Linked DNA regions of Struthio camelus. The protein of the gene in region 1 interacts with the protein of each later gene in a biochemical or structural test. Links are inferred from orthologs where the notes say so. Each region holds a gene or a part of one and is shown on either strand. Other genes may lie near its edges.

Region 1 (7,580 bases):
ACGTGCCATGCACGTAACGGCAAGCTCTCTGCAGAACCACAGCGCACGGGCACCCGACGGACGCGAGCTTTGCTGCTGCTTGATCCAAAAACATCTTTCACAATCTGTGCTCAGAGCTCAAAGCAGGACCAGCTCAAGAACTTTGCTGGCGTTGCTCGTTTGGCAGGATACCGTGAACTGGCAGGATATACAAAGTAATCACGACGCTCAATGTTAAAATAATACTCTGCAATAACTGAAGTTACTATAATTCTACTTTTCATATTAGTCTCTGGTTTATTCTAAAGCAACCCAGATGAGAACGCCTCATAAGATTTAAACGAGGTACAAATGCTTAGTGAAGAAAACTAGTGGGTATCTAATAAAGTAGCCATTAGACAAAAGGGCTAATCTACCTGGCTACATACGGGAAAATCTCGCCCGTGAATATTCTTATCATATTAGCCAGCTTGTTGAATACTGAACGGCAACGGCCAGCGGAGCCGGTAGCCATGGGTCTTCATCAGCATACTTCATTGACAGAAGCAGATTTCAGAGTTGCCCTGGTGCTAACTGTTACGACACCTTATGATATACATAGTATACGTTTCTGCTATCCTTTTCTCTACTCCCTTCTCTTAGATCAGAGATTTGATTTAGCTATTTAACAGGAAAGGTCATATTTTCAGAACGTAAGCAAGCCAGTTTAAATTGCACAAACTTAGCTACAGTAGGCTAAGAAGCTATTTTTACCAGAAAGATTAAAGGGAACTAACATTTACCCTGACAAAAGGAATTGCTCAAGATCACCGCATCAAAGCATCAAGTGAAATATAAACAAGAGCGAGCAGCTGCATTCTGCTGAAAATTCAGGCCTGCCACCAGACCCTTCACCAGCACACCACTATACTCATTTCTAAGCATTGGCAGGATTGATGCCTCGTTATTCAGCAACAAAACTACACAACTGGGCCTAACACGATGTCTTTTAAAGCATGTCCCAATCACGCAAGCCGCGGCATCAAACAGCTGGGGTTTATGACTGCAATTACAATTCAGTTATCCAGGACACAACTTACAGCTTGTTAAGTAAGGGCACGAATCTCAAAACTATCTACCCAAATCTCTCTGATTTAAAATAAATAAAGAGCCTTCCATGTTGCAACGACTTTTTTATTTAAGCCTCAGTGCAAGAGAGCAGCCTGCTTTAGGTTCAGGACCAGGGATTTGATAGAAATCACTACTCAAACTATTTGTATTGCCTACTACAACACATAGAAGAGTTCAGCAATCTTTCAACAAGTAGTATTAGCTGCTGGCAACAAATCTTAAAAAAGAAAAAAAAAAGAAAAAGAAAGCAAATTGAGAAAAGCACTTTTAAGCACACAAACATCGCTTGCACCCTCAAAGAGATGCTTCCCCTCCCCGAAGAACACTAGGATCACAACAGAACACAACCGAAATACTCCTATTTGTCAAAAACACAACCTGAGGTTTTCTGTCCTTGGTGACCAAAGGTCCTCTCAGCTGCGCAAAACTTTATGCAGATACTCAAGTTTACATTTCTAGTGCTCCACAGAGCTCACCAAGACGCATTAGAACTTGCTGAACAGGACGTAATTATGACTGAAGCGTTCCAGAACAGACCAAGGCAACGGGGAGGGGGGGGAAATAAAAGAGAGAGAAAAACCTGCTTCAAAGATCCTTTCCTGGCTACCAGTAGCCTCTAACGTGTCTATTTGGGCAATTAAAGAAAAACTGTGTTTTTCTGAGTTACTGCGGTGCATTTCACAGCACCTTCTGCATCAGCCTTCACTATGATATTCAGTCACTTCCACAAAAAGGGATTAAAGTAGTTCAGTCACAAGACCTCACCCAGGTATTCTCTACCCATTCTTAGTCTCAATATTGCTTCTTTTTGGTATGTTTCATTTCTTTGCAGTTTGGGAAGAAAAAGATTCCATTAAAAAAAAAAAAAAAACCCAAACCCACAGACCTATCTATAAAACTACTGCCAAACGCAGACTGAGCAAACTTAAAAAAAAAAAACCCACAGAGTTTATCAGCTCCATTACGGTAATAATTTTTTCAGTCTATAGAAACATAGCAGGCATAGCGTGATTAACTTATCACTGTCCCTTAAACGAGATTCATTAATCTCCGAGAACCGAAAGACCCGTCAAACATATCACTTGTTCCTATGCGGCCCCCGTGTTGAACACTCGGGACACTTACAGAAGTAAGTGCACGCACGCCTGCGTTTCTGCACACGTGCGTATTTCCAACGGGCAGGCGATTACTGGAAACGATCGTTTTGATGCATTTTATTATCCACACCCCCCACGACGATTTAAAAAAAAAAAAAATAAAAAAAGGAGAGAAAGAGAGAGGCGCGCACCGAAGACTGCACGACACCCGGCCAAGCCGCAGCCGCCCCGAGCCCGCCGGCCGTGTCGTCACGGAAGAAACCCCACAACTTCAGCGCTGCGAATTTTTCGACACAAAAACGCTGGGCGCGGGCTGGGCCCCCACCGGCGGCCGCGCAACCCGGCGCGCAGCCGGAGCAGCCTCTCGGCAGCCCTCGCTCCGCCGCTTTCCAGGAGCACCGACCCCCCCCACCGCCGCCGCCGCCCGCCCCGCCCCGCCCCGCGGAGGCAGCGCGGGCCGCGCACCCAGGCGGCTCCCTCCGCCCGGCCCCGCCGCCGGCCCGGCCCGGCTCCCCGAGCGCCGCGGCCAGGCCGCCGCTATTTATAGCCGCGCGGCCGGGACGGGAACAACCGCGCGGCTCCCGCCCGGTAACTTCGGCCGCGGGAGGCCCGGCCGCGCCGGCAGACGGCTGCGGGGCGCCCGCCCCGGCCGCGCCTCCCCGCCAGGCCGCGTCCCACCCCCGCCGCTCGGTGAAGCCGCGGGGAGGCCGCTCCCCCCCCCCCCCCCCGCCCCGGGTAAGCGGCCCGGCCCGCTGATGGGCCGCCGCCGGATGGCCGGGCCCGGCCGCCGCCTCCGTCCCTCCGCCCGGCCGCCCCCGCGCCGCCCCGCGGCCCTCACCTGTGCTGTCGCTGGCGGAGAAGCCCGGCGAGTTGAGCTTGGCTCGCTTGGGGTTGGGCGGCCCGTCGAGTAAGTTCTCCGCCATGGTAGCCGGCTCGGCCGTGGCAGCCCCGCCGGGGCCCGCCGCGCTCCCGGGATCGGCGGGCAGCCGCCGCCGCCGCCGGAGAGGAGAGGAGGAGAGGCGCCCCGCTCCGCTCCGCTCCGCACGGGAGCCGCGGCCGAGCAACAGCGCCGCTCAGTGCCCGGCCGGCGGCGGCCCCCGCTCCCCCATGCCCGGGCCGGGCCGCCGCCGCAGCAGGCCGCAGGGAGGAGGGCTCGGGGCGGGGTGGGGAGAGCCCAGCGCCCCCTCCCTGCCGGCCTCGCTCCTCCCGGCCGCTCCCCCGCCCTGCCGCCGCTGCCGCTGCCGCCGCCGCCGCCGAGGAGGTGCCCGGATGGCGGCTCAGTCAGTCACTCGGGGAGCATAGCGCCCCCCCACCCGCTCCTCCTCGCCCCGTCCCCTCCCCTGCGAGCGGGGGGCTCGCCGCGGCCCCGCTGCCGCCCCCGCCCGCCGCCCCCACCCCCGCCGCCCGCCCGCGGCGAGCCGCGGCCAACGGGGGCCGAAAAAATAAAGCCCCAAAACAATGAGGGCGGCGCGGCGGCGGCCGCCGCGGCTCCCGGTCCCGGTCCCGGCGGCGGCGCCCGGCTGGCCCCGGCCGGCGCTGCCCCGCTGCCCCGAGCCCCTGTGCCCGTCGGCGGCGCTCCGCGCGGCTGCCCGTGCCCCGGCGGGCGGCCCCGCTGCCCCGGCCCGGCCCGGCCCGGCCCCGCTCCGCTCGCGCCGCGCTCCGGCTCCGCGACAAGATGGCGGCTGTTGATTCCTCAATTAAAAAAAAAAGTTTTTTTTTCTCTTCTCTTTTCCAGAGACCATGGGGGCGGGACCGGGGCGGGGCCTGCGCCCTGCGTCACCGCGCACGGGCCCCGCCCCCCGCCCCCGCCGCCGCCGGAAAGGCGCGAGCGGCGCCGGAAAGAGCCGAGCTCGTCCTCAGTTGCTCCGCGGCGCGTTGCCCAGGGTTGGGGGGTGGGGGGGGGAACGGCCCGCGCGAGGCCCGGCGGGGCCCCCGCCCCCCTCCCCGTCCTCCCGCCCCCCCCCGTCGCTGTCGCCTCTCAGCGCCCCGCAGCTGCCCCTCGGCCGCGGCTGAGGCCCGGGCCCCCTTGCCCAGGCGGCCAGCGCTGGGTTCAGGCGGGGACGGGGACGAGAGGGGCCTTCAGGCGATGCCGGCCTGTCCCCCCTGCCCCTGGCTGCCCGTCGCCCCCCGCGCTGGCTCGCTGAGCGCCCAGACGCCCTCCGCCCGCTCCTGTCGCGTGTGGCCTCGCTGCCAGCGGGCTCCTGCCTTCGCCCCCTGCTCCTGGCTCTGCCCGCGCCTGCCGCCTCTCAGCCCGCCCCGGCCCGCGTGGCTCGGGGCCGCGCGCCCTGCCGAAACGCCTGCCCGGTTATCCCCGCCGAGCCCCCGAGCTGCCTCGCAGCCCGCCCGAAGGGCTTCCCCCCGCTGCGCGCGCCCTTAGGCCCCTCGCTGCTGCTGAGGGCGTCCGCCACCGCCCCGCAGCCGTACGCGAGGGCAGGGGCCGCGCGCCGGCCCACGGGGACGCCCACGGCCGGACCCGGTCGCTGCTAGCTCAGCTCAGGCACCAGGACCCAACCTAACGGCCGGTGGGCTCGGGGCGCCGGGCACCCGCTCCGACCGCTTGCTTCCAGCCGTGCCTCCGCTCTGACTAGACAAACCTCCCTGGCTGAAACAGGTTTGTAAGGCTGGAGCTCGTGTACTTCAGTTGGTTTCCGTACTGGTTCCTAACCTGAGAAGAAGGTCGTTCTATAAGCCCAGGCGACGTGCCATAGCAGCAAAGCGTCTCGTACCCAAACTAGTTGCTCAGGGCTGTTTTCATCGCTTATTGCTGTATGTCGACATATCCCTTAAGAGCAGTCCTAACTGGAGGACAGGCGGGAGAAAGGAGCTGAGGCGATCCTGCGGTGTGTGCATAAAGTCCATAAGCTGAGATGGATTAAACAGCAATCTTTTATTTTTTGAAAGGAGATCTATAATGACACCTTCTTTTGCAAACAGAAAGCCTTGTCTTTTGTTTACTGCTACCTCATACTCATTACATTTACTTCTATATTTACATGCATTTCGTTACGTTTACTTGCAAATTCTATATTTATTTACATGGCGCCTGCTCTTGTAGAGGCCTGGCAGTAACCAGCTCTGTTTCTATCAGTCTATTACTCATTTCTTAAACAAGTGCGGGGGCTCTCTGGTTATGTCTGCCTTTCGGACGTCTCCTTAAAAAGCAGAGAGTTCTTGTACGTTTTAGGGTAGTCCAGTGTGAGGCAGGGCTTCAGCTCCAGGTACGAGTCCCAGTTCTGAACGGGTACCTGCAGCTGGAGCTCATTTGGGTGGGAAGTCCATATCGGTTAGGTGAGGCTCCAGCTGCTTAAACACCATTGCTACAGATGTTTATGAGCCTTCTCTGCAGTAGTGTGACAGGCCACTAACCCCTTGGCTTCAGGTCTTATCTACTGCTTGAGATGTTTCAAGACTGGGAGCAGTAAAATGTGTATTTTAAAAATGAGGGCAATGCAATGATAGAGGGGCACTGTTTCTCTCACATGGGTAGGGCATCTAAAACACAGAAGTGAGGATCTGCAACAGCTTCTCATTGTAATACAAGGTGTTTGCCCCAGTTTAGGCTGAGGGAAGATGTGTTTCTGCTGCACGTGGAGAAACGGAAATCAGGTCAGCTCGTCTGTCAGCCACAACAGAGGACAGCAGTGCCCTTTGCTACCTGCTACTTGCATTTTTCAAGAAGGTCAGTCAGCGAGTTTTGAACCGTAGCTTTTGGATAACTTTATGCTCTTACCTTGCCCGTTACATCGTGTATGGTCTTGAAAATAAAGGATTTGCTGGAGTGGCTGGCATCAGCAGATGCCCGTAGCCTTTCGCTTCCCTTATGACCCCCTTCTGTGCTGCTGCGATGACACTAGAGCTCTGGCATGGAGTCAGGATGGGGATCTCCTGCCAGGAACAGAACCTAAGTGGTCCCACAGCTACCACTTAGCTCCAGGAAGATGTTTGATAGACCATATGCTGAAGTTCCACCAGTATTGCAGTTCTGATCACACAACTAGCAAGCAAGAGGACCATGACACCGCCACTGAACCTGTCACGGTAGCTTGTGTACCAGCCTGCTTGGCCCTGCCTGGCCCTGGTGTGCCTCTGCCCTGCCAGAACAATGCTGCATGCTCAGTGTTGGGAATGGGGATGGGGAGCAGATGGAAGTAGGCCACTCTTCCTCTCCCTCTAGCTGGAAGAGCTCTTCTATCTTTACAGCAAAGTGCCAGGCCAAATGAGACTTGCCACGTAGGTAAAATCAGAGGGGAGCTGCGAGTCCCGGAAACCAGAGGGGGAGAGGAAGGAGGTGGTTTGGAGGGAAGGAACCCTGCACACCAGGGCAGCAGGAGAGGAAGAGGAAATCCTAATGCTACTGCGTATTGCAGCTTCTCCATGGCATGATGTCCCCTTAGGATGGCCCTAGTCATCCCCCTGCCATGGGATCAGAACAGCATGGGGATATTGGCAGGAGCGGGGGGAAGACCTTGACCCTTACTTGCCCAAAAGGCTTAATAGTACTGCAGTGCTCAGGATACCATAGCCCTTTGTTTGTGTCAGTCCTGCAAGACTCAGGTGGCCTCACCGTAATGCCAAGCACAGTGAGCTACAACTGGAATAGGATGATTTTGTGAGAAGGAAGGAGACTGTCTGGGAGATATTACACAGCAAGCAGATGAACCCCAGTCCTGCAAACTTGTGCCCCGGATTCCCAGTCCTGGCCCCCACCGTACCTTGTGCATAAAAGCACAGCTCCCCCTCTCCCCCGAGCTGACAATTTAAGCACGTGCATGGATTCCTGGGGACTTTATCTGTGGTGCTCAGGAGTCACTGTGAATGCAGGTGCTTAATGGATAACCCCTTTATTCGGGGGTTATATTACGTCCAAGAGAAATTGCATAATAAAACCTGCACTGCTGCAGCCCATTTCCAGACTCCCTGTCTCCAGAATTAAGCTTCTTAAAGATACAGCTCCCAAGAGCCTATCTTCCTTCCCCAGCCAAAGCATGGAAGTATCATTTCTGTAGCGTGCGACCTCAGATCCTCACAGCCAAACAATTAACAGTGTTTGAACAACTTCTGAGGAGCTCTGCACTGTAACTTGCAGGTCACCATGGCATCATCAGAACAGTTCTCACTGGGAACTGCCATTTTTCCTGGCAACGTTATGTCCCAGAGTTTGGTTGCCTAACCTGCTGGTTTTGCTGCGAAATTAAGCTGTCCCAGGCAAAAAGACAAGCCTGGTGTCCGTTATCTTCTCTCCTCCTGGTTGCTGGAGAAGGTGCTGCCTATTCTTCTTCCAAGTATGTCTGGTTAGACACACCCTGCACTCATGGGACTGTGGAGCAACTTTATGTGACATAACTGTTGTTTCTGGCTTCTGATTTTCAATGTATGTGTGAATTCTTCTTGTGT
Region 2 (8,311 bases), on another chromosome or scaffold:
CAAAGAGGGAAAAAAAAAAGAAACTGCAATCTGTCCTGCAGACCTGTCTCATCTCTTTCATATGGACGGCTTGCACAAATAACATTTTTGGTCTGTATGTAGGATTACTAACCTCTAGGGATGCAGAAGAGATTCAGATCTCTACAAATCCAAACTCTAACTTTTATAACTGCCTCCTGTTTTGCTGTTGCCCAAGGAATTTATCAGAACATCCCATCTCTTCACATGAAATTTCAAGTCAGTATCTTATTCTGCTTTGCATAAGAATTAAACTGCATACCAGCGTATTGTCCCAGCAGTAAAGGGCTTCATAGCAGTTTATCCAGTTCTGTGCATTATAGCAGATCTACCTCTTATAGCTTTCCGTAACAAATCACTCTGTACAAGGTATGACAAATCATCATTGCTACTATAACAGCACCTCTAGCCAATATGAGTGGAAAGCAATGATTCATAATGTTTGATTCCTACCCTTGGGGACAGAGAACTCACGTACTAGACACCAATAGGGAAAGGAGCAAACAGTAGAAAGTAGAGGCTTAAAACATCAGCCTACCATAAAGGTGCATGTTTAAAGCCCCAACAACCCCTCGTCCATGAAAAAAAAAAACGCAAAGAGTAGAGCTGGAATTTCAGGAAAAAAAGAAATAGGATCAAATCAGCATTGAAAAAGCCAGTAATGGTAGTTAAAAAAAGCAGAAGATTTGAAAACAGAATACAACAAGACTCAGCAAGTCTAAAACAGCTCCCTGCATTTTGTCAGTGCTAACTATACTGCCATTCAATGCCAAATAGAAAAGCCAGCAGAAAAATACTTAAGAACAAAGGAAGCAAGTAGATTGCAAAGTTACTAAATTACGAGCATCCATTAACAAAATCCATGATCCACAAGCAAACATCCAGATTTTTAGTTGAACTGCTAAAGAAATGGTTACATCAAAAAAACCCAAACACCACAACACCCCAAGTTTAACTTTTCACTAGACTCCTAAATTTCTAAAGGCTTCATTCCACAGTTTTCCTAAATAGCACAAAATAAGGTCCCTAATACTGTCTCAATTATATTAACACCGCATTCATGACTGCAAAGCACTCAAAGTTCCCTGGATGAAATGCAACCCAGCGTGCCAGGTATTTGCTATTGCCACTAATGGAACCACAAAATAAACATTGTAAGGCAACTTATTGCAAATTCCCTCCAACAACAAACTGTATCTACTATTATTCTGAAGCATTCCAACTTCACTATCCAAGCCTAAAAAAGGCCCTGCTCAGCATACTTGAGACCATCTTTTGGCATCAAAATTGCAAGAGGAGGAAGATTACACTGTGCATCCCCAGCTCAGCAAACAAACTCTTACATTTGTGACAGGAATAGGAAAGTATGTACAATTGTGCCACAGCATTTCCTATCCACAGTACACAAAGAGATAAAAATGCTTTCATCTAGATGGAATGAGAATAAGAACAGCCTGAGACTTCGGGGGGGGGGGGGTTACTTCTCTTTTTCCCCTTCTGCTGCGATCCCACCAAGCAGCCACGTGGTTCTAAGAAGTTTACCCTTGTTGCTACAGTTTTTTTTTTTTAAATCGAGTAAGTTAGTTTGTAATTGAGAATAAAGAAACTAAACCAACTATGCATCTTTATCTACATAACAAGAAAAAAGAGCTAGAATTATAACTACTGACAGAGATCATCCTCTTAACATCTTGATTCCAGGACCAAGAAGGAGGCTATTGTAAACAACCTACAACTTCAGGCAACCTGATTATTCCAGTAGCATTGATAAAGAGAGAAATGAGATCTATGGTTAGGCGATATTCACTTTATGTTATACTGTTACTTGTACATCTGTTTAGGTCTTGTTACACAGTCCCTCTACCCCAGCAGTCAATGCCAAAACATATGATAATGTTTAGCACAGGCATTTCCAAAGGAAAAAAAAAAAAGAAAAATAGGGCCCTTATCCAATGCACCTTCTGGGATATGTGCCTCTAAGACACATATCCAATAAAGGCTTTCACATACAATGAATTTTACATACTTCAAGCAGTCCCAAAGAAGAATGAACATGCATACACCTTAGCAGGACTGGACTGGAGAAGGAATTACTTAATGAATGCTGTTATGTGTTAAAACGTGCCTCATCAGTTCACAAACATGAGCGACAGAACAGGCCACATAAAGAGCAGTCCACAGAATCTCGTTCATAATTTGATTTTTTTTTTTTCTTCCTTTTCTGCAGACACTCGCCTGCCTGTTACCGCACTGGAAACGCGTCCTGATGAGAGCTAGCGCTCGCCGCGCTCTCGCAGGCAGAGCCAGGCAGTAACACCACCAAGAGTTTCATTGTGCTCCAAAGTCGGGGGGGGGGGGGGGGGGGCACGGACCCAGCTCACACAGCAGTGACTTCTGTTCGCGGGTCACAAGGTGCCAAGGCTACTCCTCAACGGGGGCAACAGCATATCCTAAGATTTACCGTGGTTTCGGAATAATTTTTCAGTTCATGACTTGCATTAATACTACCCTTGGCTTCCCGGCACGGCAGGAAACATTCGCCGGCGCTGCCGTTGATTTCCCCCGAAGTCAAACCGCCGTGACAAAGCTGTCACTTGGGGGGGGGGGAGGGGGGCAACGCGTGAAATAAGGGCACGGCGGGGAACAAAACCACCCTGCCGTGCCGCGTTAACTCCCGGCCGGCCGACAGCTCACGCCGCCGAGCGCGGAGGGCTGCGCGCCGCAACGCCCGGCGAGCCATCCCGCCCCGGCAGAGCGACCTGCCTCACGGCCGGGACAGCGAAAACGAAAGGAAAGGGCCTCGGCGCCGCGCCGAGCCGCCCCGGGCCGGGCCGCTCCGCGCCCTCGGGGCTGGCGAGCAGAGCCCGGCCGAGGCGCAGGCCGGGCCGCCCGCCTCCCCCCCCCCCCAGCCCCGCCGGTACCTGGTCAGACATGGCTTCGCCCCCTCGCGTGCGGCAGGCTCGGCTGGGCCGCGGCAGGCGCTCCGCTCCCTTTCTCTCCGCCGCAGCACAAACACAGGCCGCGGCGCGGGCGGGATTTCCTGTGCGCCTGAGATCACTTCCCGCCCGGCCCGGCCCGCTGCCGCCGCCGCCGCGGCTCCTCCCCGCCCAGCCCCGGGCCGGGCCCTCGGCGCGCCCAGCCCCGGCCGCCGCCCGCCGCCGCCGCCCGCCAGAACCTTCTGGAAGCCGGGGCCGGACGGGCCGCGCGCCTCGCTCTGCGCCGCCGGCGAGGAGGGCCAGCGCCGGGGGGGGGTCGGGAAGCGCCCCGAAATTCTGCGAGTTTCCGTGGATTTCTGAAAAACTCAGTGAATTTCTAACCCACCCTACTTGTGTTCCCCCCCCAGCAGGGGATTCTCGTCCTGATTCCCCCCAGAGAAGGTTTTAACTCCAGTCAAGGAGAGGCAGAAGCGTTTCCAGGCGCGAAGGGCCCACCAGCGCCACCGGGGCTAACGAAGCCGACCCGTCGGGGAACGCACGCGGCCATCGCACCAGGCAGGCCTGCAGCGGCCAACCGAGCCGCACAGAATTAACGGGGGAGAAGGCGTTAAATAAAACGGGGCGACGCACTCCGCGGAGCCAGGTGACGAAGGGGAAGATGACCTCCTCCTCGTCACCAGGTCAAGAGCACTGCAGGAACCACCACCGAGAACCATTCGCAGCCTTGGAGCAACCCAAGAGGTGAACAGTGGAGATGACAAACACTTGATCCTATTGCAAACGCCACTGCTAGCAGTAAACAAAAGGACAGGTTTAAAAGCAGGGAGGTTAGCCCCACGGATAGAAGGTGACAGTTTTAAAGTTCTAGCATAAAATCTGAATGCAATTCCTAGTTGTACCCCTTTTCCTATGCATTCTATAATAAGAGTAACATGCAAATCACCAGTTATCCCTCTTCCCCATGCATAGCACACACAGTTGAAATTTAAATACCACTATTAAAACTTAATAACAATACCCCTCTTTATACACTTTTTATTCACTTCGGTTACAGATATGTATGTGCTCAGGGTACAAGCTATATTTGCACAGCACCTCCCTAGCAGCTAGTCTCAATTCAACCTATAAGGGTTACAAAAGTCACACGTTTCTTCTGTTACAGCCCAAACCCAACATGCAGCACCCTTAAAGCCCAACAAAAACATGCTTTTAAAAGACTAAATATACATACATGAGCTTCTTCCTACAGAACTCAAAGTAGCCCTTGCTGCTACAGCTGATGTTGAGACTACTTTACATCCACTAATAACTTTGTTTAATCCTCAGGTATTTTATAACTTCTCTAATTTCCCCATCTGCAACTAATCTCAATCACCTGAAGTTAATAAATTTCACCTCCGTTCATTCAGCTTGCTGCTAATTAACTTGACCAATGTTGTGTGGAAAGCAGAGGAGCTGTTAGTGTTTTTCTGGACAGCGTTAGCCTACCTAGCCTGCACAAAGCCTCTTCAGCCTGCAGATAGTTTTCCTACAAAACAGGGCTTTAACCTGAGAACAATCCATAATCTCGTAACACTAGTGTATTTGTTCGAGAGCAGCTAGTGCTAGCAGTAAGTATTAATATGCCTTATTAAAAGGAAGAAGGTAAATCATGTTTAATCTATAATTTGTTCTTTGGGACAGTAACCCCTGGACGCGCTGGAGGGCGCAGTGCGACGAGGCGGCAGGCGGCAGGGCCGGGCTGAGCTGCGGCTTCCCCGGAAACACCGGATCCTGGGCAGGCAGCACCGCGCGGGGAAATCGGGAGCCTCGAAACGCCTGTTGTAAATGCAGCGAGTTTGGCGTTCCGTTGTCAGAAGGGAGCAGCTGTCGGACGCCCGCAGCGGCACCGAGCTCTGAGCGCCTCCCCCCTTCTCCTCGGCCTAGGCGGAGGGCGGGCAAGCGCCGCACGCAGCCGCCGCGTCCACACCGGGGACTGGGCTGGTTTAACTCTGCTCGCAGAGGAAAGCGCGCGTTCACGAAGGCAGACCGCAGCCCTATGCCGACGTGCGCGCAGACGAGGCTGGGGAACGAGGCTCTGTTTACGGCGGAGCGGCAGCCTGGCCGGGAACGCGCCCAGACCTGTCTCCCACCCAGGGGACATATTTCTGCTGTTTCCGTGCGCCTTTTTTCCCCCGCCTCGGTCAGCGCAGGGAGCGGACACCGACGGTGTGCGGCTCCGTTCCGGCCGACGGCCCGCAGGACCCAGCAGCGCCGGCGCGGGGGGCGGCCCGCGGCCCCGCCCCTTCCCCTCCCGTGACATAACTTCCGCTGTGGCTACTTCCCGTTCCGGCGCGCGCGTGTGCTGGGCTGAGGGCTGCCGTCCGCTCGCCCACGTGGCCGCGCGCGCCCTCCCCACCCCCCCGTGAGCGGCCGTTGGCCCCCGCTCCGGCCGTTGGCGCCGCCGCCGCCATGTTGGTGCTGTTCGAGACCGCCGCTGGCTACGCCATCTTCAAGGTGAGGCGCGGGGGGGGGGGGCTGCGGGCCGCCGGGGGTCCGCGCCTCGCTCGGCCCGAGGCCTTGCCCGGGGGGCCTGACCCGCTCGCGGGGGCGGCCGAGCCCCCGAGCTGCGGCGCTTCGGTAGCGGTCCGCGGTGTGGCGTGGCGGGAAGTGCCCGCCCGGCTCAGGGCCCGGAAGGCTGCTCTTTTCGCAACACTTTCGTCTTAAAACGCCGCTCGGGGTTTGTGGCGCTGGGCTGATCACCGCCAAGGGGAAAAAAACGAGTTATGTGGACCGTGTTCGGGGAGGAGTGGGTTGCCGTCCTGTCTGCGGAGCGCTGTGTGGTGTGTTTCCGGCGGAGGGTAAGTTAACGGAAAGGAGTTGTGAGAGTTGCAACAGAAGTAAGATAGCTTTAGGTATTGTAATTAACTTGTGGCGGAAACGTCAACGGGGAAGGAGTGTGCTCAAGTCAAATGGTTTTTCAAAAAGTCACTTTACACGTCAGCCTTGTTTGGTTTCCTTGTGACATACACAGTAGGAGAAGGAGGGAGGTGAGACATGAAGCTGAAGAGTGAGTGCTGTAAAGAGGATCTCGGGTAAGAAGGAGAGGCACAGCGCGGGGAAAGATGGCTGCAGTTGTAGTAGTGTCCTGGAAATGCAAAGCCTAAAGGCACTTGAGAGGGAGAGCTTTCTCCATGGTCCCATCAGGGATTGCACATGGCTGTTTCTTTTTCTTCCACCAGTGAGAACAGATTTGGTGGGAGAGAAGGTACCTGTCTTTGTGCCCTCCTTGAAATCTCTGGAGACATCCTGTCCTGGGGAAAAGCATCTTAAGTGCTTTCCCTTATTTCTACTGAACTCATTTTGCTCACAGGCTAACAGCACCTCCTGGTTGTAAGGAGAGGTGCATGGGAGCCATGCAGCATGCTAAGCAAATCTGCAGGGTGCCTTGACCTGCGTGTGTTTCTGTCAGCTCTTTGGCAGACTCAGCACATGGGCCAGATGAGCTGGCATCAGCTGCCCACAGGTGTAGCACATGCTCTGCCTTTCTTGCTGTGTTGAGAACATGGGGCTAGGAGGAACAGACCACAAGTCTCTGGCAAGCTCCTGATGTGTTGGTTCAGAGGTTGCAGCTCCATGATGGTTTAAATGAGTTGCTAGAGCTGCTTTGGTGCTGTGTGCCCCATCATCTGTCTTTTCTCTTGCTTTGGATGTTGATGCTTGTACAGTCTCATGATGAGATTGTTCATGGAGTTTGATGACAGCACTTGCTTTATTTCAACCTAGCTTAGTCTTTTTTGGGTTTGGCTTGTGCAAACACCAGTGCAGATACAAGGAGAGCAAGGCACTAGTTTATTTTACCCTAACTTATAGAACTGCATCGTTGGGGCTCTACAGAGCCCTATGGTTCCTTGGTCTACCCTGAAACCTTTCCTCCTCTTTGAGGTGTAGCTGCGCAGTTCAGGCAAAGAGGGTTTTTAAGACTAATCCTCATGTAAAAATGTATCTAAAAGCATATTACTTCCATTTTCATTCCTGCTTGCAACTGGGGAACTAAAGTATATCACTGTCTCCCTGGAGGTTTAGATCAGTGGCTGTTCACACTAGCTAATATACTGCACCTTCTGAGTTTCTTTTAAAAAAAAAAAAGAGGGAGAGAGAGAAGGCAGTATTTCCAGGTAGGGTTGAACCTCTTGTGCTGGGAGCCAAGCCCTCTTTTAATCTTCTACAGAAACCAGGAAGGGCTGAAAATAGCACGTTTGAATCCCTGAAACCAGGATAGATATAAAGCAAAAGTAGGAGGAGGAGCATAAAGAGAAATGAAGAAGTTTCTTTGCAGGAGTGCTGCAACACTCAGTTGCAGGTGTCAACAGCTGGGATTTGGGGTCTGGCTGTGATGTGTATGCGAAGCGGCTAGAGGGCACTAGGCACCAAGAAGCAGTGTTTAAATGTGGTCTTCTAAACGCCTACCTCATGGGCAAGAGAGGAGCGCGAAGGACGTCTGGGGTGGAAGCTGTTTGTTGGAAGTGAGCATAAATAATATTTTAGTAAATCTTGTGTTTTGAGACAAGCTATTGTTTTCTGTCTTGGTTCAGTTTGCAGCTACCCATGCCAGAGAGAGTCCCTGCCACAGTGTGTATCTGCTAGGTAGGGAGGGCTCTCAATCACATGGCTTTGCGTTCCCAGGCACAGTAGCTGTTTGGTTACAAACTTGCGTGGTCCTTATACTTGTTTATTCATTCTGTAGCAAAGTATTCTCTGTGCAATTTAGTGGGGTGGTTTTTGGTTTTTTTGGTTGGTTTGTTTTGGTAGCCTTTAAAGATGGCCATTGGTGCTTTCCCCCCCCCCCCCCTTAAGTATCTTGAGGGTTGGGCAGAATTTGGGCTTCTGAATTTTGGGAAGCAGTCATGGACACCCGCTCCCCTTTTCAGCAGTGTCCATAGCCAACGTAACTGCTCTGCCTTAATCCTATGCTGATCAAGAGCCCCCCCTGCAAGCTGGGGAGCTCTTGGGTAGTCCCTGGTGGGTGTTGGTCCCATTAAAGAAGAACAAGCAGAATTCAGAAAGTAAGGGCAAACAGCATAAACATATTCCAGATCTTGGAAGACTTTTTCCAGTGAATCTTACTGTCTTGTAGGACACGCGCTATCCATAGGCAACCATAACTTCTCTACATCAACAACCTCTGTTTTGGTGACTTCTGTCTCTGCCAGTGTCTGTTTATGGAGACTGAAAGTTCTGTCTGCCTCGGGATAAGAAGGATGAACTAGAACAAAGAATCAATACACCGAGGAAAGGAAGAGGTGTCCCAAGCGTTTTCTGTGCCTCAGAGTCCTGTTGGAAATGAGTTATTGTGTTTGTTTGCTCAACTGCTAATT

Evidence for each region.
Region 2: the proteins of CREBBP (region 1) and SUMO1 form a complex in vitro, tested with the Homo sapiens proteins (2 studies listed by BioGRID, with this or other methods). The link is inferred for Struthio camelus from reciprocal best matches to the Homo sapiens genes CREBBP and SUMO1.

What each region holds. Positions count from the first base shown.
Region 1 is NC_090956.1:18,496,050-18,503,629, reverse strand, and holds the start of CREBBP (CREB-binding protein), read right to left. Parts: upstream 3,251-7,580; 5' UTR 3,110-3,250; coding exon 3,025-3,109; intron 1-3,024. UniProt on the Homo sapiens protein: Acetylates histones, giving a specific tag for transcriptional activation. Mediates acetylation of histone H3 at 'Lys-18' and 'Lys-27' (H3K18ac and H3K27ac, respectively).
Region 2 is NC_090947.1:9,968,033-9,976,343, reverse strand, and holds the start of SUMO1 (small ubiquitin-related modifier 1), read right to left. Parts: upstream 3,126-8,311; 5' UTR 2,952-3,125; coding exon 2,940-2,951; intron 1-2,939. Other genes in the region: NOP58 (nucleolar protein 58), read left to right, coding at 5,720-5,794. UniProt on the Homo sapiens protein: Ubiquitin-like protein that can be covalently attached to proteins as a monomer or a lysine-linked polymer.